Callithrix jacchus: one gene and its partners. The protein of the gene in region 6 interacts with the protein of the main gene of each other region in a biochemical or structural test. Links are inferred from orthologs where the notes say so. Each region holds a gene or a part of one and is shown on either strand. Other genes may lie near its edges.

Evidence for each region.
Region 1: the proteins of JUN (region 6) and SMAD3 form a complex in vitro, tested with the Homo sapiens proteins (3 studies listed by BioGRID). The link is inferred for Callithrix jacchus from reciprocal best matches to the Homo sapiens genes JUN and SMAD3.
Region 2: the proteins of JUN (region 6) and ATF2 form a complex in vitro, tested with the Homo sapiens proteins (4 studies listed by BioGRID and IntAct, with this or other methods). The link is inferred for Callithrix jacchus from reciprocal best matches to the Homo sapiens genes JUN and ATF2.
Region 3: of the proteins of JUN (region 6) and MAPK9, one has a biochemical effect on the other in vitro, tested with the Homo sapiens proteins (17 studies listed by BioGRID and IntAct, with this or other methods). The link is inferred for Callithrix jacchus from reciprocal best matches to the Homo sapiens genes JUN and MAPK9.
Region 4: the proteins of JUN (region 6) and FBXW7 form a complex in vitro, tested with the Homo sapiens proteins (3 studies listed by BioGRID, with this or other methods). The link is inferred for Callithrix jacchus from reciprocal best matches to the Homo sapiens genes JUN and FBXW7.
Region 5: the proteins of JUN (region 6) and RUNX2 form a complex in vitro, tested with the Homo sapiens proteins (2 studies listed by BioGRID). The link is inferred for Callithrix jacchus from reciprocal best matches to the Homo sapiens genes JUN and RUNX2.
Region 7: of the proteins of JUN (region 6) and MAPK10, one has a biochemical effect on the other in vitro, tested with the Homo sapiens proteins (7 studies listed by BioGRID and IntAct, with this or other methods). The link is inferred for Callithrix jacchus from reciprocal best matches to the Homo sapiens genes JUN and MAPK10.

Annotation. Positions count from the first base shown.
Region 1 is NC_133509.1:14,107,505-14,111,730, reverse strand, and holds the start of SMAD3 (mothers against decapentaplegic homolog 3), read right to left. Parts: upstream 2,836-4,226; 5' UTR 2,274-2,835; coding exon 2,068-2,273; intron 1,694-2,067; exon of another isoform or gene 1,607-1,693; coding exon of another isoform or gene 1,602-1,606; exon of another isoform or gene 1,580-1,601; intron 646-1,579; exon of another isoform or gene 520-645; intron 1-519. UniProt on the Homo sapiens protein: Receptor-regulated SMAD (R-SMAD) that is an intracellular signal transducer and transcriptional modulator activated by TGF-beta (transforming growth factor) and activin type 1 receptor kinases.
Region 2 is NC_133507.1:54,370,132-54,373,588, reverse strand, and holds the end of ATF2 (cyclic AMP-dependent transcription factor ATF-2), read right to left. Parts: intron 3,068-3,457; coding exon 2,841-3,067; 3' UTR 511-2,840; downstream 1-510. UniProt on the Homo sapiens protein: Transcriptional activator which regulates the transcription of various genes, including those involved in anti-apoptosis, cell growth, and DNA damage response.
Region 3 is NC_133503.1:71,332,540-71,336,747, reverse strand, and holds the start of MAPK9 (mitogen-activated protein kinase 9), read right to left. Parts: upstream 2,954-4,208; 5' UTR 2,694-2,953; intron 1-2,693. UniProt on the Homo sapiens protein: Serine/threonine-protein kinase involved in various processes such as cell proliferation, differentiation, migration, transformation and programmed cell death.
Region 4 is NC_133504.1:44,161,666-44,166,151, reverse strand, and holds the start of FBXW7 (F-box/WD repeat-containing protein 7), read right to left. Parts: upstream 2,871-4,486; 5' UTR 1,877-2,870; exon of another isoform or gene 1,786-1,876; 5' UTR 1,710-1,785; intron 1-1,709. UniProt on the Homo sapiens protein: Substrate recognition component of a SCF (SKP1-CUL1-F-box protein) E3 ubiquitin-protein ligase complex which mediates the ubiquitination and subsequent proteasomal degradation of target proteins.
Region 5 is NC_133505.1:53,970,821-53,974,560, reverse strand, and holds part of RUNX2 (runt-related transcription factor 2), read right to left. Parts: intron 2,695-3,740; coding exon 2,629-2,694; intron 1,090-2,628; coding exon 611-1,089; 3' UTR 1-610. UniProt on the Homo sapiens protein: Transcription factor involved in osteoblastic differentiation and skeletal morphogenesis. Essential for the maturation of osteoblasts and both intramembranous and endochondral ossification.
Region 6 is NC_133508.1:95,863,882-95,868,089, forward strand, and holds the start of JUN (transcription factor Jun), read right to left. Parts: upstream 2,868-4,208; 5' UTR 1,897-2,867; coding exon 892-1,896; 3' UTR 1-891. Other genes in the region: uncharacterized protein LOC128928178, read left to right, coding at 4,138-4,139. UniProt on the Homo sapiens protein: Transcription factor that recognizes and binds to the AP-1 consensus motif 5'-TGA[GC]TCA-3'.
Region 7 is NC_133504.1:111,512,228-111,515,967, reverse strand, and holds part of MAPK10 (mitogen-activated protein kinase 10), read right to left. Parts: intron 3,432-3,740; coding exon 3,249-3,431; intron 1-3,248. UniProt on the Homo sapiens protein: Serine/threonine-protein kinase involved in various processes such as neuronal proliferation, differentiation, migration and programmed cell death.

The DNA of each region.
Region 1 (4,226 bases), on a different chromosome or scaffold from region 6:
AGGACAAACTACCAAGACCAGGGAAAGCAAGGCCTCTCCGCCAAGCCATCAACAGCCCACAGATACAGGAGCAACGGCACAGACAAAGGTCCACAGGGCCCTCCCCAAGCTAAAAGGGCTTTAGCATTCAGCAAAGAATGTATTCAGATCTTCAAAGCAGAAAGCAGCGTGGGGCAGCAGAAAGAGCACATGCGGTCAGAAGCCCGTGTCTACTACCCAGGCCTTTGCACCTCTCTCTCCTAAAGTTTTCTCAACTTTAAAAATGTGATAATCTTAGGCCTAACAACCTAACCTACTCTCCAGGGCTTGGCTGGTTGCCTGCTTGCTTTTTTTGAGAACCTCGGAAACCATGTGAAAGTGCTTTGTAAACTGTGAAACACTTTTCACAGCTGCCTGTTGTATAATTAATACCACTTTTCTTTTTCAACGCTTAAAGCGCTTGTCTTCAATGCACCACGGCAGATACGGACAAGGTAGGTTTGGGAGCCCCCTCCCCAGACAGAGAAGTAGGATACTCACCCACTCTACCCTCTCCACCCGCACCGAAGAAATACAGAAGAATTAAGAACCCGAGCTGGAACCAAACCCCGAGGTCTCTCTGACCATCACATCACACCACCTCCTCTGAAGTCAATTCTGGCTCCTGATCACACGCCCAGAGACTTCCCCAGACAGCACACCGCCTTCCCTCCCCCTTTATTGACTGGATCCACCCAGTTAAAAAAGAATTTTGTTTAAGTCCGCACTCCCACCATATGTGGCATTTATTTCCAGGGGAAGCCTGCCCTGAGTTCCTGCAGACAGATGTTGCTTTGTGCCTGCCTGACTCTCCTGGCAGACCTTGTACAACTGCCCCAAGCAGGTGGCCAAGGATGGAGTCCACCCTGGCTCCGGAACAGGGATGACAGCCCTTCATGGCTGACAGTCCCTGGTGCTCTCTAATCATTCCTCTGCAGCCTAGGACCTCCAAAACAGCCACCCCCCAACACACACACTCTCTCCCCTGGTTCGGAATCAAAGAAGACTGAGAGGTAGAGACAGGAGGCCAAGGTACCTCCACCCCCAATTCCCAATCAGGCACAGCTAAGCTAAGGAAGCCCCTGGGGGAGTGAAGTCACTGACCCCTTCTATCAGCCATCTGTGGGCTCCCGCCCGACCTAGCTAGCGCGCGACGGGAAGGATAAAGGAGATCCAGACAGATGGCAGAGCGCTTTGGGAAGGAGGGCTCTACAGGAATGCGAGGGCCGATGCGAGGCCCACTTCGGGGTGTGTTTTGTTATCTGCCCGGCTCCAGCCCGCCCCTCTCCCTCGTTCTGCACGACTCAAAATCTCTTGGACTGAAAGGAGGGCAAAAGAGTCGGGATGAGGGGTGGGAAATGAGGGAGGAGACCCTATTTTCTGCCACTTGTCTCTCCCATTTGGAAGTCAGAGCATTTGCACTGCAACCAAAGTGCGTGCGTGCGCAGGGGGCGGGAGACTGGCACAACCGAATCTAAAAATACTCGATAAAAACGCTAATCCCGAAGGCAAAGAAAGAACGAAGAAGGAATCTGTCAATCACGAGGCTCCCGCTCCTCACCCACAGCCCCAGCTGTACGGACCGCATTCCTGTAGAGGAAAGAAGTGGGGAGACCGGACTGAAGAAAAGAAACGCAGAGACACCACCACCTCCACGAGCGCGGGCCGCGGGGGCGGGAGGCGGCGGCGGAGGAGGGGCTCCGGCCCGCGGAGCCGAACAAAGCGGGCCTCAACTTCCAGCCCCAGCTCCCCGGGGTGGGGGCGGCCGAGTCCCGCAGCAACCCGCTCTCCCCTCCCAGGGGTGGAAAGGGAATGTGAGGTTTGGAAGCGAGAGTGCCGCGTGGAAGCCTCGGGCTCTGATCTTTGCAAATACAGAGATGGTTTTGTTTGGGGTCCCCCCACCCCCTTCCTGCCCCTGCTCTTGCTCCCCACTCTTACACGCACGCACACAGTCTCTCTCCCTCTTCCCATCTCCAACCCCACTGGGTCGGCCCCGCAGTGCCAGGGGGCTGCGCTGCTTGCCCCCGGGTCCCCCGGGCGGGCCCCCACCTGGGGATGGTGATGCACTTGGTGTTGACGTTCTGCGTGGTGATGGCCTTCTCCAGCTCGTCCAGCTGCCCCGTCTTCTTGAGCTTCTTGACCAGGCTCTTGACCGCCTTCTCGCACCATTTCTCCTCCTGCCCGTTCTGCTCGCCCTTCTTCCAGCCCAGCAGGCGCTTCACGATCGGGGGAGTGAAAGGCAGGATGGACGACATGGCTAGGGAGGGCGCGCGGGCGGCGAGGAGCGCCCCCGGCGGGGCTGTACTCGGCGGGAAGCCGGGGGCGCAGAGGGGAGCTCTGCCGGGGCCGGCCTCGGCCGCCCAAACTTCGCCTAACTCTCGGCGAAGTTGCCGGGGCGCCGGGCCGGGCCGCGGCGCTGCAGCCTGCGGGGTTCGGCGCGCCGCTCTGAGCCCGGAGCTGCTCCCACGGCGGGGAAAACGGCGGCCAGGCGGGTGGGCGGACGGCAGCGGCGCCGGGTCGGGAAGGCCCCGAACGCGGGGCGGAGGCGGCGGCCGCGAGACTCCGAGTGGCAGCAGAAGTTTGGGTTTCCGCACGGGGTAGCTGTTTGGGTGCCGCCTCCGGGAAGGAAAGTCCAACCCCCGGCCAAACTTCGCTCGCCTCGCTAGCTTTGATGAGCAGATCCCTCCGCCTCTGCTGCCTCGCAGCCCCGCTGCCCTCCTCCTCCCGGCTCGCCGCTCGCTCGCTCGCTGGCTGGGCCGGCCCGGGGCGTACGCCGCGCTCCCGCTCCCGCTCCCGCCCGCTCCCAGTCTGTGTTTCATGCAAATCCGCGTGCAGCCTCCTTTCCTAGCGCTGTCACCGCCCCCTCGCCGCCGGGGCTCCCCGCCTCCTCCCCCGCGCCCCGCCGCCTCCTCGCGCGGGCGTCCTATCCGCCCCCTGCTCAGGGGAGAGCTCCCGGCTGGCCCCCGGCGGGCCGGCTGGCCGGCCACTTCGCCACCTCCCCACGCCCAGCACGCCCACGTGGGCGACCCGGGCGGCAGCGGTCCTGGCTGGAGCGCACGGGATCCCGCGCAGCCCCCACCTGAAGTCGGGCGGGCGCGGGGAGGAAGTCTTGGGAAAGGCGCGGCGAGAAGGGCCGCGGGAGGGAGGGCTGAGCGCGGCCCTTGGCGTTCGCTGTCGGAGCCCACGCTCGGGCAGCTCGATTGCAGTTGCGGGCCGGAGAGGGTTGGACTCGCAGCAAGCAAGCGCTGTCCCGGCGGGAGTGCACCCTGGAGAGGACCCCAGCCCGGGAGGGGGCGCGCGGAAGGCCCGGGCCCAGGAAGTTGGGGCGCGCACTTGGCCTTGCGCTCGCTGATCCCCGTCAAGGCCCTTGGCCGGCTCCGGCGCCCGGGGGCTGTTTTTATTCTCTCGACGGTGAGATCACACCGGCTGAGAGCCTCCGGAACGTGTGCGAAGCGGGGAGGTGGGGACAAGTGGGTCCTCAGAAGTGGAGAGTTGGGATCTCAGTGACAACCTTGACAATGGCTGGAGCCTGGGGTCCCTTGAGCCTTGTGAAGCGAGTACCCGGCAGAAAATGGGCCTCAAAGACATCTGTTGAATTCTTAAAAGGAATGAATGGGGATGCTTTTAAATTTATCTTTGGAAGAAATTTACATAACCGGGTGTTGCTGGATCTCCTGATAGAGAAAGATCGGAAATTTGACACCCAATAAATGCAAGAGAGTTTTGTTTCCAAAGCAATGAACTCACAAAAAAGTGAGGCAAGACAGGAGTATTTGGGAGTTTATGTATTTAAAAAAAAATAAAAAAGCAAAACAACAACAAACCAACTGGCACATTGTGGAGCTCCGGTCTTTTCACCCCACCAAAAGATTTCAGGGGCGTCTGCCCGCAGGCCCCTTGGTGACTTTCAGGAAATACTCCGGTACCCTGGGCCTTTCTCTTGCTGCGGCCTCCCACATCAAACTAGGCAGTGTCTAAGTCCTTTGTTTGTTTTTAACAGCAGGAATCCCCCACCCCCTACCCCCGCTTTGTTTTTTTGTTTTTAAGTTATCTGCAAACCTTCAAGTGGGTGGGGAGTTACAAAGCCCTGTGAGGTGTGTCGGAATACACAAAATAAGGCCAGAAGCGGCAGGAGCCCTTGCCTTGTCCCAGAGAACCGCCTCCCACAAGCCGGTCTGCTGCTGCTGAAGAGCGCTGTGCGCCTCACC
Region 2 (3,457 bases), on a different chromosome or scaffold from region 6:
GGTTGAATTCTGGATTGAGGGTAAAGGAAATAGTATTTCCTGATGGGTTGAATGTAGGCTAAGAAAAAGAAAAGGGTGACAACTAGGTTGTTCTAGCTTAAGCAACTGGAAGAATTGTGTTGTCATCAATTGACTCATGAAAGTTTGTATGAGGAATATGTTTGAGGGTAGGGTGAGCTGTTTAGCCGTTCAGTGTTGGACCTGTTTTGTTTTAGATGTTTTGTCAGGCCATCACCAAGGGATACCAAAGGCAGGTGGATCTGCGGCTAAAGTTCAGGGGTGTGGGGAATTACATATGAATTATATAATTCATTATATATGAATGGGATGCAAAGTGAGTGCAAATAGGAACAAGGCCTGAGTACCCTGCAGTAAAAAGGAATGAATGAATTTGATCACAAAACTAGAAAGAATTCAGGTTCTTTTCAGGTAATAAATGTCCTGAAAGAAAAAAAAAATCATTATCAGGTGATGTTACTTCATGAAGGAAAGGTAAGAACAAGCAAATTATGAACATAATTTAAAGATAGAATTTATTCTCTGATGGTTTACTCATGCAAACTGCACATAAAAGAAAATAGTACAGTTTGTGTAACATTGCAAATATAAGGACTGAAAATGCTAGGTACAGAAGTAGTATGACATCCTGAAAGTCAAAATGGAATTTGTGTTTATACAACTAAGAATGATTTTTTATTTGCTCAGTACAGATTGGTTTACAATGAAAGTTTTGCTAACCTTGGTAAGCTTGTTAACCGTTTACATGACTTCTTACATCTATGTAGTTTTATTTTACAGTTGCAAGAATTCTGTTACCAAAGAATTTAACTTGCATAAGTAATAAGATGAAAGAAAAATGCACGAAAGGACTTAAGAGTGAAAAATTGAGGCTTTTCCTAACCCATTCAAACTGCAATAAAAAATAGCCTTCTTGCAGAATTCATATTTTGTGCCTTTGAGATAACTCCTTAATGATTTGAAATTACTTTAAAATAATGAAATTAGTTAAAAATTAAAAATTTTAGAAGAATTGTCAAATAAAAATGCTCTCATTTTAATAAGCTAAACAATAAAATTCCCATTATCTTCATACTTAAAGTCCTGAACTGTCATTTATATAATTTGAATGTTTCCCAGTTTGGAACTTAGGCAGGTGAGATATTTTCCTTGAATTATCAAGGATATTCCATATAGACTTTTAAAATGTCAGTCTCATTAGGAGATGGCACTGAGACTTTAGCAAATAGTGTAGTATGGATGCAGGACAAACTACACAACTTATTATAAATGCATTACAGATATTTACATAATGGAATCCTGCTTGAATGCCAGAAGTTGCTACTGGGTAGGACTCATACTATTTTACAAAGTTTTCTTACGCACATCTACTACTTTAAAAATTTTATGTTTAACAATTTATTCTATTTTAAAATATGTACTGTATTTTGAACATAATTGCAGAATAAAAATAGATAATGGCACATTAGAAAACTAAGTATCCCACAGATGACTGGATAATGAGAAAAGTGTACCTACAATCATCTCATCAGAAACAAGCTACATCATGGAATGTTAGTTATCCAAGCCTGCACAATAATGACATTTTAAACTGCAATCATCTATTGGCCAGCATCACACTGAAGGCATCGTTAAACATTCAAGCAAAGATTGCTGGCATAAACTATTGAAAGACACACATACACACCCACACACAGACACACACACACACTCTCTCTCTCCCTCATGCACACTTCCCACATTATAATTACATTGTTCTAAAGATAGATACTGATTTTTTTCCACGAGAAACATTATCAAAATTTGCTACTAAAAGATGACAGTGCTTTCACAAGAATTAAGTACAAGTTAGCTCGCAAGTACAAGACAATGGGGGTAAACAGTCTTAAATTTTCTAAGTTGTAATTGTAGGCTTTTCTGGCAACCATACCATACTTAATTATGCATAAACTTTGCAGTTTGTAACCTGAAATCTGCAAAAACAACAACAACAAAAAAACAAAAACAAGAGCTAATTTAAAAAATTATTAGATATTTGATAACCCTGTATAATACATTATATAATTTCATATTTTTTAGCCTCAAAACATAAGTGTAAAATATCGAATTTAAGACTTGAAAAATAAAATCGTTTTGAAATGCTGAAAATTCTAAAATTTACTTAAAATCTTAAATAAAAGGAAAATGCATTATTATAAATGACCTTGATTTAGCTTAACAATGTGCATAAAAGCACTGTATGTCTTTACCATGTTTTCACTCACTTAAAAAAAAAGTGTTCTTTAATGTTTTTCCTTTTGCATAATGTGCAAAATAAAAGGCAAAAAGATTAAAAGCAAATTTCTTTCTCTTGCCTAGTGCTTTATGACTCCGTTAACATTACAAAGTCAACAGGGACTATGCAGAACTTTGGTATAAATGATAATACTACTACCATCACAGTTGAGGGTTAAGGGGTGGTCAAAAGAAATGGAAGTGGGAAGAAGGATTCAGTAACACCCCCATTTATTAAAACACCAGCAAATTAAAAGTGAAATAAACCACAATGAATTATAATACAATTTATACACTGAGCACAGAAAAATTAATAAATCTAACAATATTTATATTAAAAAAAAAGCAAAATCAGTCTTTCTCCAGAGACTAAAAGCTGTTTTTCAGTCTGATCAACTGCTGCTACACAAACTTTAGAGCCAAATTTAATTTCAAGTAAAAAAAAAATTTACAACCACAGATTTCGCATAAATGGAAACTGGTCTTTCCTTGATTTCCCTTTGAAGTCACTAATGAGTATCTAAAACTGTTGTACTGCAGGTTTTTAATCAACTTCCTGAGGGCTGTGACTGGGAGGAAGGAGCCATAACGATCTGTGAAAGAGCAGGCTCTGTACTCTGGTCCGCCATCTGGGTGAGGACTGAAGTGGCTACAGCTTCTGCCTTGGAGGTTGAACTGACTCCATTGGATGTGCTGACCGAACTATGTTGTATAGCTTCTGTATGTGGACTGCTCGGCACTGAAATGTCTTCTGAACTATCATCTTTATCAGCAGCTGAGTGGAAAAAAGAAAAATTATTCATTTTCTTAAAATCTGTAAGAATACACCATTATGCTGAGGCAATATACAGAGTAAAAAGTTAGAAGGTATCTATCTTACAAAACTGTTTAGACAAGTTGGTATTACAGGAATTGAGTATAGGTCATGAATTAGGTAATTTTACCTGCAACAGGTCAAAAGAAGGCACAACCATGAATATGAAAACATCTGGGTGCCCACTGCCTTATGAAATAGAGCTGAATAAATATTTGCTAAATAGTGTTAAAGAAAGAAAATGAGGTAGAGTTTGGAAGACAGGCTCTTATAGATACAATCAAACATTAAGCATCACATTTAACAAACAGTGTGGTTGGCCTACATGTCATTCTTATTAAAAGATAAAAA
Region 3 (4,208 bases), on a different chromosome or scaffold from region 6:
TGTCTGGTCCTTTTAAGAAAACAGGACCAGACAAATCAGTTAATAGTGAGTAAACCAGTTAAAGAAAATAAAGATTTTATTTTAAACAGACACATTCAAGTATTCCCTCTAATATTTATTTAGGGCACCAAATAAACATATTTTAATCTGTGAACAAATTAAAGTCCTGGCATCCTGAAAATTAAATTACCAGGAAAATCAAAGCTGTCCAGAGAAGACTATGCAAAAATAATATTATTTTTAACTCTGCAGGATCCTTTTGAAGGAAAAAAGTTAAATGGAAGAAAACATTAAATAGACTGGTTGTCATTCTTCCACAACAAGATAAAAGCCAGAAGAGAATACTCTGAGCTGAGGGACCCAGGAAAGAATGCTTATCTGGGGAGCGACCTGGGTTCGAATTCCACTCACCAGCTGCTTGCTTAGAAGTAGCTACTGAAACTCCTGAGCTTCCATTTCCACAGGGCTCCAGTAACAATCAAATAAGTACCTGGGCTGGTACCTGAGCAAACAGGACCTGGCTCCCCTGGCCTTAGGCTACATTTCCTGCTCCTCACAGTTCCTCCCTCCCACACAGCCAATCATGGAGGAGGACAATCCTGCGAACAAACTGAATGAATCTGTATTTGGCTTTACTCACAGCGTTTTTTACAAAAATTAATTAGCTATTGCCAACATTTAAAATCAGAATAAATATCAAGTGCTGCCTTCTTTTTTAGAGACGGAGTCTTGCTCTGTCACCAGGCTGGAGCACAGTGGTATGGTCATAGCTCACTGTAGGCCCAAAATCCTGGGCTTATGGGATCCTTCCACCTCAGCCATCCAAGTAGCTAGGACCACAGGTGCATGCCACCACACCTAGCTAATTTTTAAAAAAAGTTTTTGTTGAGACAGGGATCTCGCTAGGTTGCCCAGGCTGGTCTTGAACTCACGGCATCAAGTGACCCTCCCACGGCAGCCCCCCAAAGTGTCTGGGATTACAGGCATGAGCCATGGCACCCAGCCAAATTCCACCTTCTTCTAGAAAACTACTGGGTAAGGTTCCAGTTCTCTGGGGTCCCCATGACTCTGTGCCCTTACACCTGGCCCTGCAGACGGATTCTCAGCTCTGAAGTGGGCTACAGTCCTTCCTTGGCCATGCTCTTTCACACCTCTGTGCCTCTCCCTGCCTAGCAAATTTCTCAACACCCTCAAGCACCGCCCCGCCCCCACAACCTTCCATCTCCTTCACATTTCCATGGCATAGCCCCTGAACTACAGCAAGTGATGTACAGTCCTGGAACTAAGTGTCTGCATGCCTGCCTTCTCTACTGGGCTCCCAGGCTCTCTTGGGAAAGGGACCCTGTTGCTATCTGCCTTGTCCCTAGGGCCTGGCAGAAAGCATGACCTAGATAATGCAGAATTCAGTAAATGTCTACTGTATGTGTAGAAGAAAGCTAGAACTAACCTGTTATAAAATGTGGGATTTTTCACCACAGCTTGTTCCAACAGTTAGCAATTAAAGGGGTCAAGGACACCAAAATGTTTCACAAAATAGAACAAGCTTCCATCTGTTTACAAGTTTCACAAGTTAATCAAAAGTCACTAAATGAACAGATAAAGCAGAGACAACAGGGAGGCTGGGCCATTTCTTTGACCATTCATTCATTCATTGAGCTGATACTACTGAATACATACTGTCTGCTTTCTAAGCACTGGGGATAAAGCAGTGGATAAATCAGACAGCTATCTCTTTTCACAAAGTTACATCCTAGTGGGGGAGACAGAAAATAAACAGGCAAATAAATAGAATAGTTTCAAACCAGGTGAAAGCCAGGAATGAAATTTTTAAAATAATGAAATAGTATGACTAAGGGAAGAAAGAGGGTGGTCGGGGAGGGCCTCACCCAAAACAAGACATGTCACCAGAGGAAGAAGCAGAAAGGGCTACTTGTACCAAGATCTCGAAGAAAACTCCGAAGATGGTGAAACAGCAAATGCGAATGTCTTGGGGCAAATGTGGGCTGGCATATTCAAGGCGAGCAAGATGAGTGGGATGTGGCCGGTCTTCTGGGGTAGGGGTGTGGTGATAAGGGATGTGGGCTGGGTCCCCTCTGGCACTGCTGGACACTGAGTGTGCAATGACAATGCAAGGGAGAAGTTCGCGGGAGGCAGGAGGCTGGACGGATGGGGAGGGGGTTCCTACTCCACTCACACGAGCAAGGGTCAGCACCCCGCCCAATCTTCCACAAATGTACACCCGAGCCCTGCCCAGGCGTTTGCATACAGTCACACAGCCTGACAAAAACCGTGTCCAGAAGAGACATTTCCCCCACTTTCCCGAAGGCGAAACCGCGGCAGAGGGAGGGTCGGTGCGTTGGCCAAGGTCGAGCGGTCGCGACCCCCGGGCCCCTGGACACCCGACGCAGAGAGCAGCTGCTAGCCCCACCACCGGGAGGGATGGCGCCCGCAGACCCCACGGGCATGTTGGCCGGGCCAGGCCGGGGAGCAGGCCCGCAACCCAGGGTTGTTGACAGTAGGGCAGGAGGCGGCGACTGCGGCATCCCAGAGCACAGGGGCGACAGCCGCGGCTGCCAGGGCCCCGCAGCCCCCGGCCTGCCCCGAAGCCCCGGCCGAGCGGCTCCCCCGCCGCCCCTCCCGGCGGGCCCGGTTTGAGTAGCAGCCGCCAGGCCTAGCCCGCCCGCCGGGCTCACCTCGCCTCCCGGCCGCCGCACCACGGGGAGAGGGCGGGCGAGCAGACTGGCGGCGCTGCGTTCTGGTCACTCCAGGCTCCACGGCCCCGGCTCCGGCTCCGCCGCCGCCGCCGCCGCCGCCGCCGCCGCCCCGCCCCGCTCCGCAGCCGCTCCGCCCCGCCGCCGCCGCCGCCGCAGTAGATGTGAGGGGCGCCAGGGCGCTGCGACCCTTCCGGTCCAGCTCCCTTCGCCTCAGCTGCCGCCGCCGAGGCGCCTGGTCTGACCGACCCTCGGGCAGACCAATCAGCGCGCGGAGAACGAAGCTGATGCGGCCAATGGCTCCCGGTGGGCGGGTCGCTGGAGGGTGGCGGGGGCGGGGCCAGGGGCCGGGGGCCAGACTGGAAGTCCCAGGCCGGGGTTCCGTGGGTTCCGCGTCCACGGGCCTCTCAGCTGACAGGCCACGGCGCTCCGGTGCGCGCCGTACACGCGGTGAGCTGTAGACGTAGGCACTGCCCGGCCCACCCGCTGAGCCCGCGCTGTCTGGGCGAGGGGGCCACGGCTCGGTGGAAGAGGAGGTGGTCCACAGGACCGGGAATCAGGGTGGAGGCGCGCGGGGTTTATGCCGCGGTGTCCGCGGGGAGCCAGGCCTCAGACTGCAGATGCAGGCTCGCGGCGGCGAGGCGGCCTGGAGCGGCCCGGGAGCTCGCCTGCTTCGGGGAGAGCCCGGGGCGAGCGCTGGGGGAGGCAGGCCTGGCGTCCGGGAAGCCTCGAGTCCGGACTCGGTTGCTTGCTGCAGCGCGGCAGGAATGGGTCTATAGGGGTGTGGGTGAGGGCAGAAGTTGGATTGTAGAGGTGGAGGTGGTGCGAAGAGATGGCGGTAGACTGGTGACCCGGTGGGTCGGTGACGCAGGAGGAGAGTGCGCTTGGTGGTGGGGTGACTTAGTTGACAACATTTAAAAAGTGGGACGTGCTCAGTCAATCCTCTGAGAAGAGTGGGGGGCAGGGCGAGAAGTGTCTTGTTCAGGGCCTCCTAGGGACTGGGACCCTTTGACTCTGAGCTGCTTTTGAGGCCGGATCAGGTACTAGTGGCCTGGGGCCGTACAGGATGGGAGAGGCCGAGGCTTGGGATGTTGCCAGATCTGCGGTGAAAAGTAAAGCAGGAATCGAGGCACGGAGACTGGGCACATGGGGAAAACCGCGGAGAGCCGGACTTTGGGGACTGGAAGATGGGGACAGTGGTTGACAAATGTTGAGTGTGGGGGTAGAACAGCAATCACACAATACCAGGATCTACGGAGTGGCCAGGGCCAGCGTGGGGAGAAGGAACAAGACCCTGCAGTTGGGGAGGGGCAGGGGCTGGGTGGCGTGAAGGGTGGTTGCGGAATTTGGGGAGGGCAGCAAGCCTGTGACCCAGGTTCCAAGGGCACTGAGGGCTGGGCCAGGCCGCCTGGAGGCACCAGGGGTAGAGGAAGGGATCCAGCGTGGTGTCGCACCCCTTGGCCACCAGAGGGAGTTTTCTAAATTTGAGGATGGCTC
Region 4 (4,486 bases), on a different chromosome or scaffold from region 6:
AAAATTACCAAAATTTTTAACCAATCTATAGTTAAAGCAATACAAGTAGTCCAAAAGTTAGTGAGCAACTTTGACAGAATGCAACCTACATTCAAACTACAGTTTGTTTCTTAGTTTGTCCTCCCCTCCTTCTCAAAATACAGGTTCTACATGACTACATTTCTCTTTATCATATCTTTGTGAAAAACAAAATACATGACTCTGATTCTAAGTCTAACATTACATCCACTATTCAATATTTTCATGTCAGTACACACTTAAAAGACAGAATTTAAGGTTCCTTACCAAAACATAGTAAGGCAACTAAAGAAAAACAGTACAGTGGGAGAAGTTCCAGAGGAGGAAAAAGTGGTCAAAGAAATAAGAAACATTATTCTAAGACAAGAGTTGGAGAAACTGATGGTAGAAATAATAAAACACTATAAAAGTAAGGAAAGATGAACTGAGGCTTGTTCTGGTATTTCTCGAAACACAAACTCTGGCTGTGTCCTGAAAATTTATGGACACAGGTATGGAATATATAAATAAATTGCCTATGGAATTTATAAATGAATTGTCACATAATACAGAGGCTAATAAACTTGCAGAACTCATTACTTTAAAAGAATAGGACCAAACATTGTTAAGTTTGAGTTTTAAATAAATTTAATCAAGATCCTGAATGGAGAACTTCAGATAGACTGATAACCCCAGGCTTACATTCATTACCACAAAGCAACTCTCAGCAGTGGCTTCAGACAGAAGGAGCCCACACAGTTGTCTAGACGGACCACAATTCTCACTATAGTACTGTCTATGCCTGCTTACATAAAATTCTACTCTATGTTTAACCCTTAAGGACTGTATATGATATGTTAATTACTTCCATGAAACTTTAATTTGGTACTTTGAGAACATTACTAAAATGCAAGTCAAAGGTTTTATAGACTTCAACTTTAAAACAATGGAAGGAAAAAGTCATTCCTGAAAGAATTAAATATCAAAAGTGTATCCTAAATTGATACAGAAATAAAGACAATACAAAATAGCAAAACCTCAAACAAAATTAAAAAGTGTTGTCATTTAAGATGTTACTCCAAAAAAAATAAAAACTTGGTGAAGGGGAAAAAAATCACTTTTATAAAATGATTAATGTGATAAATGCTCTTCCCCAGATAAGCTGTGATTCCTAAGAAATCAAGTTCCTAAGTGAAATCTGTTACAGTGTCTCCTGACACACAGACCCAGGAACTGAGAAGATTAACTCCTGTATCAATAGGTACTAAATGAAAATCTCCCAAGACTGTTTTTTCATTTTTTTTTTTAAAAAGGGAATTTTGCTTTCGGGGGTCCTATATAAGAGTACCCCAGAAACAAAAAGAACACTGTACACACCCACAGTACCAGGAAAAGGTTACAGATACAGATGGCCTCTGTGCGCACACATCCTCTGGCTTCCTCAATTTCCCTTTGCCAATTACTGGCCAGAAAGGTGCGAGTATTCACTCTGAAGAAGGAACTCCTCCAAGAGAAACCTGCATACTTGCATTACTCGTACAGAGTTAAAAAGTTACGAAATACAGGCCTCCCTAACACCTTCTCCCTTCTGTGAATAAAGCTAGACCCTCTTGTGACTCCCAACACTCCTGGGAACATCAGCAAAACTCCAGGAGGAAGCGCCGGCATCCTCCCACTTTCTCCCCTCAATTCCCTCTCACGGGGCCACTCACACTTTAGAGAAGAGCCGCGGCGCCGAGAAAGTGGGCTGGTTCCCTTCCTCCTTCGGACTGAGGCGGCAGCGCGGTCCTGAGGAAGAAGCGGCTCGTGTCGCTAAACCAGGCGGCCACTCGGGTCTCTTCCGTGCTGCCAGGGGCGAGGAGGCGGCGGCCCCGCTTACCTCCTCTTTTCCTCTTCCTGGGTCTTTTCAGGCTGCGACTCCTGCCCGTCCAGGGCCACTTCTCCCAGGACAGTCACGTTTGGGAGGCTCTGGATTTTGTTTTTATAAAGTTTCCTCTGGGCGGAGGCTGTGGCCGGCCCCCCGGATCCCCCCCGGCCCCGCCGCCCTGGGGGCTGGGGCGGGGGAGGGGGGCTCTAAGAACTCCTCCCGGAGTCCAGCCAAGGAGCCGGGGGGCCGGCGACTGGCCAAGGGAGAAGACCCCCGAAGGGGGCTGAGGGGAGGGGGAAGGTGAGGAAAGGACGGCGGCGTCGGTCCCGCTCTCTCCGCCGCCCCAGCCGCTGCTTCACATCGGGGTCCCAGTCCCCCCGGCCGGGGGGGTGGTTGCAGAGCTTGGTTGGGGCCCCGGCTCATACACTCCGGGGCAAGATGCTACGGACCCGGGCGGGTGGCCGAGGCGGCGGCGAGGCGGGGGACCCTGCCGGCTCCGCTCGGCGCCGCCCCCGCTCCCGGCTCCTGCATGTGTCGCTGCGGCTGGGACCCCCCTCCCTACACCTTGGGGGTCCCACGCCCCACGCCCCGGGACGAGGCAGAAGCTCCGGCGCCTCCTCAGCGTTCTCTCACCGCGGAGCAGCTACCCAGTCCCGGCCCGCGGTAGCCGCCTCCCTGCCCCCCAAGCCGCCGGCTCCGGCTCGGGCTCGGGCTCGGGCTCGGGCTCGGGCTCGGGCTCCGGCTCCGGCTCCGGCTCCGGCTCCGGCTCCGGCGTGTGCAGCCTCTGCTGCCGGCCGGGAAGGTGAGGGGGGGAGAGGTGTGCGGCCGCGGCTCCCGCTGACCCAGGTGAGGGCGAAGGTCTCAGCGGCGGCCAGTGCAGAGGGGCTGAGTCTCTCGGATGCTCCTTCGCTCTTACTCTCGGCGGCGGCGGCGGCGGCGGCGGCGGCAGCGCCCGGAGCTCAGTTCGCTGTCTCCCTCGCTCTGTGCGGGGCTCTCGCCTCACTCTAGAGAGAGAGGGGCGGGAGGAGAGCGGCGCCTGCAGATGACGCAAGTCACCTAGCAACCGCTCTCCTCCCCCTCCCTCTTCTTTCCGCTCTGAGGCTTCCTCCGCGGGCCTTTTTTCCTAGTCCAGCCACCCCGCCCTGGGCGCCTCTGGCGCGCTCTGATGACGCTCCAAGGGAAGAGGAAGTGGGGATAGGCGAGCGGGTGGGTGCGCCTCGGGCCGCGGGACTTGCAGCCGCCGCCGCCGCTGCTGCAGCCTCTACGGCCGCGTCAGAACTGAAGAGAGGAAGGGGAGGAGCCGAGACAAGCCTAAGCTGCCGCCCGATCTTACCCCTGACCCGAGGGCGGCCCGGAGAGCTTGCTCTGTAGCGGTTTCCTGCGGGGCAGGTGGGACTGCTCCTTTGGGAGGAAGTAGGAGGCCCAGGCCGCGCCTTCAGGCAACTGCGCGCACCACCCGAAGGTGAGGCATTTGGCTCCAAACAGGCCCTCGAAAAGCCGGACTGATCGAGGAGTTACCCCACGGCCTGATCCACTGCACCTGCCCCAGGGAGAGAGCGCCCCACCCTTCCCGTGGCGTGGGGTGAGACTCAGCGCTGGATAACGTGTGGTCGGGCAGAGCAAATGTTTGATGAATGAATGAATGAATGAATGCCTCCTCACGTGGCACTCGCGAAGCTCATAGGATATGGTGGAAGTGCAAGCGCTTTTCAAACTGCAGTGCATTGTAAAAATGAGTTGTAATACATTCCTCCCCTCCCCCTAGCTATGAAAGGAAACAGGGGTGCGGCCTGAGTACAGAGTCACAACCTGAGTCTTCAGTGGAAAAGGAGATGAAATGCTGGGCAGGGGAAGGAACCCATCCTCGGGCAGATTTTTAGGGCGGCGGGGAGGGAGGATTGGAAGGGAACCATCATCCGGGAGATTGTGGAAGGATTTTTGACTCTCAAGGGAAGAATTTCATTAGTAGTGCCACACTTTTACGAATCGTTCTTTCTTACGGTTTGGAGCTTTCGAGAGCTTCTCGTCTTGGTTCATCAGTGTACAGTGTCATCAAGAAATGTTGGCCTGTGTTTCAGGTCTGACTCAAAGGTTATTTTCTTTCTAAAACAAATATTATTACTATTAGTGCAGCTTTTCCTACAGACGTTATCCTGGAAAGGAACGTCAAGTAAAAACTCATGAAGTTTAAAGTGTAGTTCTCCAGGAAAAAAAATTTTTAATAAAAGGATCCGAATCCTGAGAAATCTGTCTTGAGTGAATAGCATGAGAATGGTCAATCGTATCAGAAAGACATTAAAGCAGCAACAATAATGAAAGCAAATTTCACAATTATGTCGCTGGACCCTAGTACATTCCACCTCCTCTGAAAACAGTAGTAATGGATATTACAAGTATTTCCACCTCGAGGAGGGGTGAGATAGGAGCAAGTGTATTATAAACAAATTTGGGAAGCTCTGGGTTTCTGCCACTACTGCCACCACCATCTGCAAACGGTAAACTAAGGAATATTTTAACTGGGTAAATCCAAGGGCTCCTGTTGATTAAAATGCTACAGGAAAGGTGGTGGGAGGGGCAAAGGAGGATGTGGCAAAACCAAGGAGAGTCTCACAGACTTAGCAT
Region 5 (3,740 bases), on a different chromosome or scaffold from region 6:
AAAAAAAACAAAAAAAAATGAACCCAACAGTTCAGATGAGGACCTGCAGCATGTCTGAAAGCAGAAATTGGAAGTTATTCTGAATGATGGTACTGTGATGGAAGCGTCCATTCTACCTCATGTCCCTTTAGTGCACCTCAACTGGTTTTGTAAGCTGTCTGTGGAGGGCACTGGTCCATACACAGCTGCCACCATGAGGGTGTGAGGTTTCAGAGCACAGAGAGGAAGCGGCTTTGCTCTTCTCCCTCCTGAACCTGGAGTCCACCTCTCTGAATTGGCATATAAACAGGTTATTGATGATAACAGGCCAAACAACAAAAACAAAAATACCTTTTCCCTTGTTTGTTCCTTTGTAAAAGTGTATCTTAAATAGTAAACAATCTGAAACCCGATTGCAACTATCTCTCTTGAGCCTTCTGCTTCTCAATATCTACCCTCCTATGGCTGCAAGATCATGACTAAGCGAGTGAATGAAAAATCTTCTAAAAAATAGGCACTTTGTAGATAGCTAATCGATATACATATATATGCACTCTCTCTATATATATGTATATATTGATACATGTGGGATGTGACTCCCCAGATACCACTGGGCCACGGCTGAGGAATTTCAATATGGTCGCCAAACAGATTCATCCATTCTGCCACTAGAATTCAAAACAGTTGGGGAACTGCTGTGGCTTCCATCAGCGTCAACACCATCATTCTGGTTAGGCAAATTTGGATTTAATAGCGTGCTGCCATTCGAGGTGGTGGTGCATGGCGGAAGCATTCTGGAAGGAGACCGGTCTCCCCCCGGCACCATGGGAAACTGATAGGATCCTGACGAAGTGCCATAGTAGAGATATGGAGTGCTGCTGGTCTGGAAGGGTCCACTCTGGCTTTGGGAAGAGCCGGGATAGGGTGGTGGCAGGTAGGTGTGGTAGTGAGTGGTGGCGGACATACCGAGGGACATGCCTGAGGTGACTGGCGGGGTGTAAGTAAAGGTGGCTGGATAGTGCATTCGTGGGTTGGAGAAGCGGCTCTCAGTGAGGGATGAAATGCTTGGGAACTGCCTGGGGTCTGAAAAAGGGCCCAGTTCTGAAGCACCTAAAAATTATAACAGAAGACGGGGGGGAAAAATCTGTAAATATCAATTAAAATAATGATAGAATTGTTACAAGAAAAAAAAAATGAAAACTTTAGCTTTCCCAAATAGGAACAGCAAGCCACAAATAGACCTTCAAATGCACCAGTCACTTTACAGTCTTTTTTACCCCCATTTTGCAGTCTTAACAGCATTGATCCTCAAGTTCTTCACCCTCAGAGCATCCCAGAGGGCTTTAAAAACCCACATGTGTGCCAGGTCAATGTGTAAACCAACCCAACACTCTGATCACATAGGTTCACTCACCAGACTTTAAGACCAAATCCTTATGGATTTTTTTTTCTCTTTTTGTTTCTTGTTGCGCATTAGATATTTCAAGTGAAATTTTTACTAAGTCAGACAAGTTTATTTTCCTCAACTCAATATAAAGAAATTCCAAAATAATGTCTTACTCTTTACTCTTGGCAGACTCCTTAGTCAATGAAGGAGCATCAAAAGGATATCCTATCATGTTCCTATCATTTCCTTTAAAGCCTTAAAAGAATTTAAAATCTTGTCATAAGCCTCATCTTGTTAACAGTGAAATCAAACCAGAAACTCCTAAATTCTCTGGAGATGGACAGGAGTGTCATAAGCTACTAGACAAGCCGGTTTTGAAAGTGGGAGTTAGGAGGCAAAAGGGGGCTTGGTATCTTAGGAATCATTGCATTTCAAGTCTTGATGGGAGACTTGTGACCTGATTTAGGCCAGGTGCTGACAGTAGCCTTTGCTGCCTAGGGGAGATTAAGAGGAGGGCACTCCCCACCTATCTCACAGGCCCCAGCACCACATCCTACAGAAACAGCTTCAGGTCAACTTGAAGCAGTAACCTAGAGGCGAAGATGGTTTTCCCCTAAAATGTGAAGTCCTTTCACGTCTAAAGCTAACAGTATGCCTCCTTAATAGACATTCCTGGTGCCTAACTTATGAAACCACCATTATAAACCATTTAATGTGGAATTTACTTTTTTGAAATGCTAAAAATCTTGTAGTTGTGATCTTTAAAGATTGGGTCTATTAATATTTTTTTGGAATTGACAGCACTGTGACAAGCCCTTTTCTAACACCAGTGCCCTTGTTAAGATAATGAACCCTTCTAAAATATCTGGATTATTCTAATCTCATATATTTGTTTTTCCTACAGCTTTTAGCTATAAAGGAAAGCACTAAACAATTCTTGAGGACTTTAGTGAATGGTTACTTCTTCGTCTCATTTTTATTCAGACCTTGTTCTCGGGTATTACAACATTTATTAAAGGAATAATCCGAACGCTTTTCTTTAAAGTTGCTGATTGAAGGTTGTTAATTTTTGTTAAAATGCACACTGCTTAGAATCTTCATAAAATGCAAGGTTTAAGTGCCATGATGTGCATTTGTAATAAAACATGACTCTTTGAAAGCAACACATAGTTAACAAACTCGCAAATCAGACAGTAACAACCAGACAGCCCAGCCCAGCCCAGCCCTGCCCAGCCCAGCCCAGCAATTGTTAAAAGTCTCACCTGCCTGGCTCTTCTTACTGAGAGTGGAAGGCCAGAGGCAGAAGTCAGAGGTGGCAGTGTCATCATCTGTAAAATGAGGGGGATGAGCTCTAAGTTCCCTTCCAGCTCTAATGTTCTATGACCATGAATTCCAAGAGAGAAAGAGAAGCAACAGCCTTAGGGGAGGAGTAGATAGAGAGGTTCCCATCTGTCATTAGTATTTTCCCAGAGTCCGCATGCCCATAAGCAGATCGTAAAAGCTAGTGAGCAGCTTCTAATGCCAGAAGCACTTTCAAGATGAAGAACCAGAACTGACATATCCCAGGCAGTCACTCTCTGCTTTTTATAAATTCTTCCATCCTCAACTAGCTTCTACCTATTCCTCCCCAAAATGAAATTCTGTCAAGCTTAAGTTTAAAAATGTGGAAGCTGTGATTATGCCAGAATCAGAAATGGGAGCAGATGCACCATAACATCTCCCTGCCCAATGCTCGTGCCCTGCCTCATACAATACAGAGGCCAAATGGAGGCCACAGATGTTCCTCAGGTGGCCTCTGCATTGCAGGGCACCTGGGAGACCCCCAAGCAGGCAGAGCTAATAGTGATGGGCAAGTCACTTCTGTATGCATTAAGTTCAATATTTAGATCATATAAGACCAGAATAATGTGAGCAGTGTGCATCAGAAAGAAGTAGTATTTAAAACGCCAAGGTGTGCCCCCTGCAGAAGCATGGAGTTCACACAGATAGGCATGTTAATGTAAAAACTGCTTCTCAGGTGTATTTATACTTAAAATACACTGTAGTAATAATTAAAATTCCATATGGTTTCACTTATTTTGATGCAGAAGCCCCATTAAAACCCGTTATGTGGGGCCCTGGCAGTAAACTCCAATATGGTTTTGAATTTACCCCTCCCCACACCTTCCTCTGAATTTTACCTGATACGTTTTGCTGACGTTTTTATTGCCCATCACATGCCAGGATCACTGTACCTTTTTGGTTTATAGATGCTCGCTAACACAAACTGACATTTGGTTTTCAATTAATGAGATCTGGTTATGATTTATAGAAAACAATGCAACAAATTTCCGCTGGTTTACAGTATTTTAACCAATCACTTCTAGGCATTTGA
Region 6 (4,208 bases):
TTCTAAAGTCTAATAGAGAACAGTTTTTACTGCTTGATAGTAAGAAGCACTGAGAGAGATTTTAATTGACATTCTTAACTTTCAACTCCACTTAGATAGCTAGTATCTATAGATGATGCAGAAAAGAGGTTAGGGGAGTACTTTTCAATAGTTTATTGCATTTTCTTAAATATCCTTTCTGGAATTTTCAGAAACAAAACATAAAAAAATTATATACTTTATTACAAATGGTAAACTCAGAGTGCTCCAAATCTCTTATTTACAAACAACACTGGGCAGGACACCCAAACAAACAAACAAGAAATAACTTACAAAGGCATGAAGCTGTTTATTGACAGTAATCAGCTTTCATCAAATTAAAAAAAATATATATGTACATACACAGTTAACGAAGGCAGGCCAGAAAGAGTTCATCTGCAGGCTCAGCCTCGCTCTCACAAACCTCCCTCCAGCCGCCCCTCCCCAACCCTCCCCCCCACGCTTTGTGTTCTTAAGGAGTACTACAGAAGCAATCTACAGTCTCTATTGCAGTTTGTAACCCCCTCCCCCTCCCCCCTTTAATACTGAATGAGATCGAATGTTAGGTCCATGCAGTTCTTGGTCAATGTTAACGAAAAGTCTAACGTTCCGTTCGCGCGGGGACAGCCCATCCGCAAAGCCGGGCAGCCCGCAGACGGCCGCTCCCTGGCTCCACGCCAAGGGAGTGCGCGCCAAGTCCTTCCCACTCGTGCACACTGGGGGCGCCGTCAGGACGCAACCCAGTCCAACTTGGATACCCTTGGCTTTAGTTCTCGGACACTTCTTTTTCCTCTCCGCTGCAACTTGTCAAGTTCTCAAGTCTGTCTCTGTTATTTTTTTCTCCGTTGCCCCTCAGTCCCCGACAGTCTCTCTTCAAAACGTTTGCAACTGCTGCGTTAGCATGAGTTGGCACCCACTGTTAACGTGGTTCATGACTTTCTGTTTAAGCTGTGCCACCTGTTCCCTGAGCATGTTGGCCGTGGACGCCAGCTCCGAGTTCTGAGCTTTCAAGGTTTTCACTTTTTCCTCCAGCCGGGCGATTCTCTCCAGCTTCCTTTTTCGGCACTTGGAGGCAGCGATGCGGTTCCTCATGCGCTTCCTCTCTGCCTTGATCCGCTCCTGGGACTCCATGTCGATGGGGGACAGGGGCGGCGTCTCGCCGGGCATCTCGGGCACTGTCTGAGGCTCCTCCTTCAGGGCCTGCAGTCGCGGGTGCTGCACCGGCATCTGCTGGGGCAAGTGGTGGGGCGGCTGCGGCGGCTGCTGCTGCTGCTGGGGTTGCGCGGGAAAGGCCAGGCCGGCCGCGCCGTAGGAGGGCGCCCCGCCGCCGCTGCTCAGCGCTCCGGGGTTGAAGTTGCTGAGGTTGGCGTAGACCGGCGGCTCGCTGTGCAGGCTGGCGCTGAAGCCGCCGCTGCCACTGCCCCCCGCCACCGAGGCCACCGCGGGAGCCACCATGCCCGCCCCGCTGACCGGCTGCGCCGCCGACGTGACGCTGGGATGTGTGTTCTGGCTGTGCAGCTCGGCCAGGGCGCGCACGAAACCCTCGGCGAAGCCCTCCTGCTCGTCTGTCACGTTCTTGGGGCACAAGAACTGGGTGGGGGTCGGCGTGGTGGTAATGTGCCCATTGCTGGACTGGATGATGAGGCGCTCCAGCTCGGGAGACGCCAGCTTGAGCAGCCCCACGTCGGGCGAGGTGAGGAGGTCCGAGTTCTTGGCGCGAAGGTGCGGCTTCAGGCTCCCCACTGGGTCGGCCAGGTTCAGGGTCATACTCTGTTTCAGGATCTTGGGGTTACTGTAGCCATAAGCTCCGCTCTCGGACTGGAGGAACGAGGCGTTGAGGGCATCGTCATAGAAGGTCGTTTCCATCTTTGCAGTCATAGAACAGTCCGTCACTTCACGTGAGGTTAGTTTGGGCTGCGCGCAGAAGTTTCGGGGCCGCAACAGCGCTCTGGCAAGCGGGGTACACCCGCGTCCCCCCGGGCCTTTGGCGGGGAAAGTTTCTCTAAGAGCGTGCGCGCCTGCTGGCAGTCGTCCCCGCTGCGCCCTACTCACCAACTCGCTCCTGGGAGCGCAGGGTTAATTAAGATGCCTCCCGCACTCTTACTTGTTGGCTCGCGCGCGCTGCCCGGCTTTGAAAAGTCGCGGTCACTCACTGAGCGATCTTCGGTCGCAGCGGTTCCTCGGAGCCCGCGGGCGAACTCACTTCCAGGAGCGGCGGTTCTCCCAGAGGCGCGGATCAGTGCGGACCCCGCAGTGGCCAGCCGGCGGCGGGTCTCGGCCGCCCGGACTCCGACGACTTGTCCCCTCCTCCGCTGCGAGGGGGAGGGGGCGCCCGGCAGCCGCGGCTTGCGCTCGCCCAAGTTCAGCAACCAGTGCGAGCGAAGCTGAGCGCACGTCCTTCTCTCGCGCGTCTCTCCAACGCCTTTTGGTCTTTACCGCCGTCGAGCAGCCTAAGGCGCAGGAAAGGCTTGCAAAAGTTCGCTCCGGGACTCTGGGCCACTTGGCCCGGGTCCTCCCAGCCGGGAAAGTTCTTTGCCGCTGCAGCCGCTCGCCGACGTCCCCCGGCGGGCGCGTGGGTACCGCTGCTCTCCGCCGCTGTCAGCAGCGCTTGGGCAGCGGGGTTCTTCTCCCGGGGGCGGCTGGAGACCAGGCTCTCCCCGCACTCCTCGAAACACCAGCCCCGGAGCCACAGGCGCTAGCTCTGGGCAGTTGGAGAGAAGATGGAAAAGAAAAGATTTGCAGCTCGGACTCTACTGCAGTCCTGGCTGTCTGGCTGTGTCTGTCTGTCTGCCTGAGACCGCGCACCTCCACTCCCGCCTTGCTGCTTCAGCCACACTCAGTGCAACTCTGAGCCCTTATCCAGCCCGAGCTCAACACTTATCTGCTACCAGTCAACCCCTAAAAATAGCCCATGATGTCACCCCAAGGCTTTCCCATTGGCTCGCGTCGCTCTCAGGGGGGCGGGCCCGCCCGTCGCCATGGAGACTCCACCCTAGAAGATTCTTCTCTAGGCCCGCGGAGGCTCACGGGATGAGGTAATGCTCCGTTGCCCTCCTACAGTCGGTCCCTTCTTTCTCCTCCCCTCCCCCTGCCGCACGCCTCTCGGCCCTCTCTTCCCTGGTCTCCTCCCCCGGCCGTTTTTGCTGGCCCGCCCGGTGCATTGTGGGCTGACGTCTTGGGGTTTGACTGTCTAGTGACGGTGGCTGCCGCGAGCGGGCGGACGCTCGCAACGTCTCTGGGGTGGGGGGGGGCGCTCAAGTTCACGGCTCCGGACAGGGATGCAGAGATGCAGGGGATAAGGGGACGCGGGAGGCCAGGGAACCCGGCCAGTTGTTGGGGGCCAAGGGTGCGGGCGAGGGGTGGTTGGGGTTTCTCCACTTGTGGGGCTCGAAGTCATCCGCCGGCGTCTGCCACCGCGCGGGGCAGGAGGCTGAGAATCCAAGTCTGTGGCCCCCCCCGCGCACTTCCGGGGGCGGGAGCACCGCCCTTAAGGTGGCTCTGTGAAGTCCCAGTTGGGGGCGAGCCTAAGGGCGCTTAAGTTTGGGGGCGGTCTCGCGAGAGTCGGCCCCCCAAGTTGAGAACGCTCGGAACTTTGTCTTGGTCTAGTTCAGGAGCGATGGTCCGCGGGGTCGTCTGGCTGCTCATAGAAGCCGAGAAATTTGTATTGCCCGAAACTGAACGCTCAGCTGAGTCTCCGTTGCACCTCTCTTCATCCTCCGGGGACGCGGGGGTTCATAGCTTTGCCTTGGAGGGGCAGTTTTTATAGTGAGAGCAATTAGTGGGTAACAGGGTCCAGATGGGAACAAGCATGTAGGCAATCCGAAACTTGGGGAAGCCCGGTGTTAGTATACTCCCCCTCCCGCCCCCGGACAACACGCACACGCTTAACACAGCACGCTCAACACACAGGCGCGCGCGCGCACACACACACACACACACACACACACTCCATCTGCGCCGTGTTGCTTCCGGGAAAACAAGCCCAGAAGGCGGCGGACGCTCGCATAAAGTCACGCAGTAGAACTCGGAGCCCGGGATAGAACCTGGACTTCAAATCTCTGCACTCCGGGCCGGGTTGTGGGCCCATATCCTGGGTAGCCTCTAGGAAGCGCTAGACACATGTAAGTGGTTCCTTTTCCGCGGTTGTTATTTTATCTCCCCACCACCCCCCCCGCCCCCACTCCTTAGGG
Region 7 (3,740 bases), on a different chromosome or scaffold from region 6:
TTATAAAATTACATGGTGATAGTATATTTATTTAATAACATTGTTAAAAGACATTAATCTCTAAAAATATGTAAAATTTGACATAAAGTTTTAACAGAAATGAAAACATCAAATCAATATTGTTACTCAATCGATTTGAAAGTTGAACAGTTGGCCGGGCGCAGTGGCTCAAGCCTGTAATCCCAGCACTTCCGGAGGCCGAGGAGGGCGAATCACGAGGTCAAGAGATGGAGACCATCCTGGCCAACATGATGAAACCCTGTCTCTACTAAAAAAAAAATACAAAAATTAGCTGGGCGTGGTGGCTTGCATCTATAGTCCCAGCTACTTGGGAGGCTGAGGCAGGAGAATTACTTGAACCTGGGAGGCAGAGGTTGCAGTGAGCCGAGATTGTGCCACTGCACTCCAGCCTAGTGCCTGGTGACAGAGTAAGACTCTGTCGAAAAAGAAAGAAAGAAAGAAGAAAGAAAGAAAAAAATAAGAAAGAAAGAAAGAAAGAAAGAAAGAAAGAAAGAAAGAAAGAAAGAAAGAGAAAGTTGAAAGGTTAAAATATTGTTTATTCTAAATATATGGTAAGACATCAAATTAAAGAGAAAAAATTAAATTGGTTTTCAAACAATCAACATAGATGACTCTGTGGACATGTATCAGTTTTTATTTAATCAATTTTCAGATTAAGACAACTGGGCTAATTCTACAAATTTGAAAATTACATAAAATATAAAAATCAGGAAATAATATCTAACCCCCTTAGCTAGAGGCAATGACTATGATTATTGGCATCTTTTTTTGAGTGCTTTTCATGTACTTTTCACATAATATTAATTATACTACAGTTAAAATATAGCAATTAATTTTTTACCTGTATTTTTTGGTAATTAAATTATTATTACCAATGAGTAATTAATAATAATTACCAATTTACTTGGTAATCAATAAATATATCTTTTAATGTTCTTAACAAATATAAACAAATCACTAGTTAAATCAAATGAGAACTTTTTATTAACCATTTTTTTGAGAAACTCAATCCTAGAAACTAAACTATTATTACTTTTAAATTAAAACTCTGAACGGCACAGGAATAACAAAAATACAGCAATACTTACATGTTTATTCAATAATTAATTTTCTCATTGCCAATGGCCTCCTAATAGCCTAACAGGGCTGTGTTTATTCATTGCTTTAAAGATCTCTTTAATTTGTAACTGATTTTACATCCAAATTCATGTACAATTCTCATAGATTCTCTCATCAAATCTAACCATTTCTTTGCTCTTAGAAAAAGCTGGGATTAGAATGGACTGTTCATGAATAGGATCATGAACTACACCAATACCAAACCATCTTGCTAAGAAACAATGATCAATAATATTGTTAGGAAACAATATGGGAAAATGTTTCAGTGCGTCCTCTTTCATTCTTTCATTTGAAAGCGAATGTGTTATGCTCTTTTCCAAATACAGTAGAATAAATTCTTCTCTTTGGTTATTTGTATATTATGATTATTTATATTTGCCAATTTTATATTAAAAATTAAAATCAATAATCAAATATGCAAACTAGTTTATCATTTACAAAAGTAATATAATTACAGAGATTGAATTAAAAAGTAAATTCAAGAAAATTGTAATTATATTATGAAACATAGTATCTTAATAGCCCTTTTATTGTGATTTCATACAATAGTTGAATGAGGGCTTTGTTGTCTCTTTATTGTTGCAAGTGTCTTCATAAGAAGGGATTACTTTTGCCTGATATCTCAGTTAGTATCACTAAGGCATGACTTCTATAAGATCTTCACTTGGAGTATCAGCTCTTTTTCAAACTGGATACAGGCAATGTTGATCTTAAAAGCAGTAGATTTAGAAATAATTTCGTCCACTGTCAGTAAGAGAGTCCACAGAGGCAGCTGAAGGAAGAAATCCAACTGTTCAACGTGTCAAGAGCACAGAAGCAGGGTTGCACTTTTAAAACCCATTAGATAAAAGTTCAGAGGATATAAAAACATCCTGGAAAACAGTGGCACCACATTTCAGATTCCTCATCTTGTTTAAGTCTTCCTCAGCTATACATATTAAGCTTGTAAGTTAAGTCTGTAGATATTTAATCTGTTCATGTAACATTTGGGACTAAATTTAAAAAGCATATGTCCTAAGTTTTTCTTTTTTGATAATTTACAGATACATCTTAAAACTACTATTTTTATTATATTTAATGTCACCAAGCATCTGCAGTGGGCCAGGCACTGCTCTAAGTGTTCGACAGATTATTAAGTCAATTAATCTTCCCAACAACCCTATAAGGTAGGTTCCCTCTACATTCATTTGTTAAAAGAAGGAAAGAAAAATTAGGTAACTTGCTCAGGGTCATACAGATTTTAAGGCAGAGGGACAAATTTGAAACCAGGCAGGAGGGAAACAGATTTATTTCAACATCAGATTTCCAAAAGTGTCCCAAAGTATAAGAATTTGAGTATTATTATTTATATTACAATTTATGCATTGCCAAATTTATTCTGTGTCTCCAAATGAGACTGAGGCATTATCAAGTCAATTTTGTGGGAGAAGATATTTGTTACTCAAATACATTAACTGCCAACAAAGTGATAGGAAAAAATGACTTATTAATGGATGTGTTTATATTGAATAAAAAATGTATATAAAATCCCATTTACTATTTTAAAATAAAAAAATAATTTAAGCACTCTATAAATTATTTAAAAAAAGAAATTCAGATCTGCATCTCCAATTTGCAACTAAACCTTGCACTGAAAATATTTTTAAGTAATAAAAAGGATTGAAACCATGATTTCAATGTATATATATGTATATTATATTGGTCTTTCAGAGTTAAATAACTTTAGGATTCTAAATAATCCCCCGTGAAATACACAGTGCAAAGCATCATCACACTATCCTTCCCTCTGAATATTCAGACCTAAAATCCATGGTTTCTCCCCTTTGTAGGAAAGATCTTCCAAGAAATACCTCTCTTTACTTGATTTTGTGCCAATTAAAGAACTGATCGATGTTTGAGGTGATAGGTTATACCAATTGCTCTGATTTGACCATATGCCTCCATATACATTTCAAAATATCACCCTGTATTCCATAAATATGCACGATTATCATGTGTCAACTAAACATAGAAGGAAACAAAGAGAAAGAGAGTGACGTCTCTATAACATGTACTTGTTTGGCCCGTCACCCTCATAGTTGTTCTTAAGTCATTCCTGAAGAGCATACCTTTGAGTTTATTGTGCTCAGAGTCCGCTGGGAAGAGGGAATCTGGGAAGAGCTTGGGGAAGGTGAGTCCTGCATACTTGGGCCGATTCTCCACATAGTTTCTTACTGTGGGTTGCAATTTCTTCATGAATTCTGGACATGGTGTTCCTAGTTGTTCAATTACCTTATTCCACTGGTCAATATCTGAGAATTGAACAGTTAAGGGAAAAAGGAGGTGCAGACCACTCGCCTTTCAACAATTGGGAGGCTAACTCTTCTCAAAGTCCTAAACAGTCCATAATGCAACAAGGCATGAAAATGCAAAATCAGACTTGACAGGGTCTGGGTCTTCTTGAAATTTTAAATTCACTTTTGAAACATATACTTTTGAAAAACTAGTAATTATTTAACAAAATAAGATATTATGAAATAGTCTTTGGGTCATACAGATAAAAAGTTATTCAAATAACACAAGACGAATCTCATATTCTTCAGATAAACTTCCATATAATC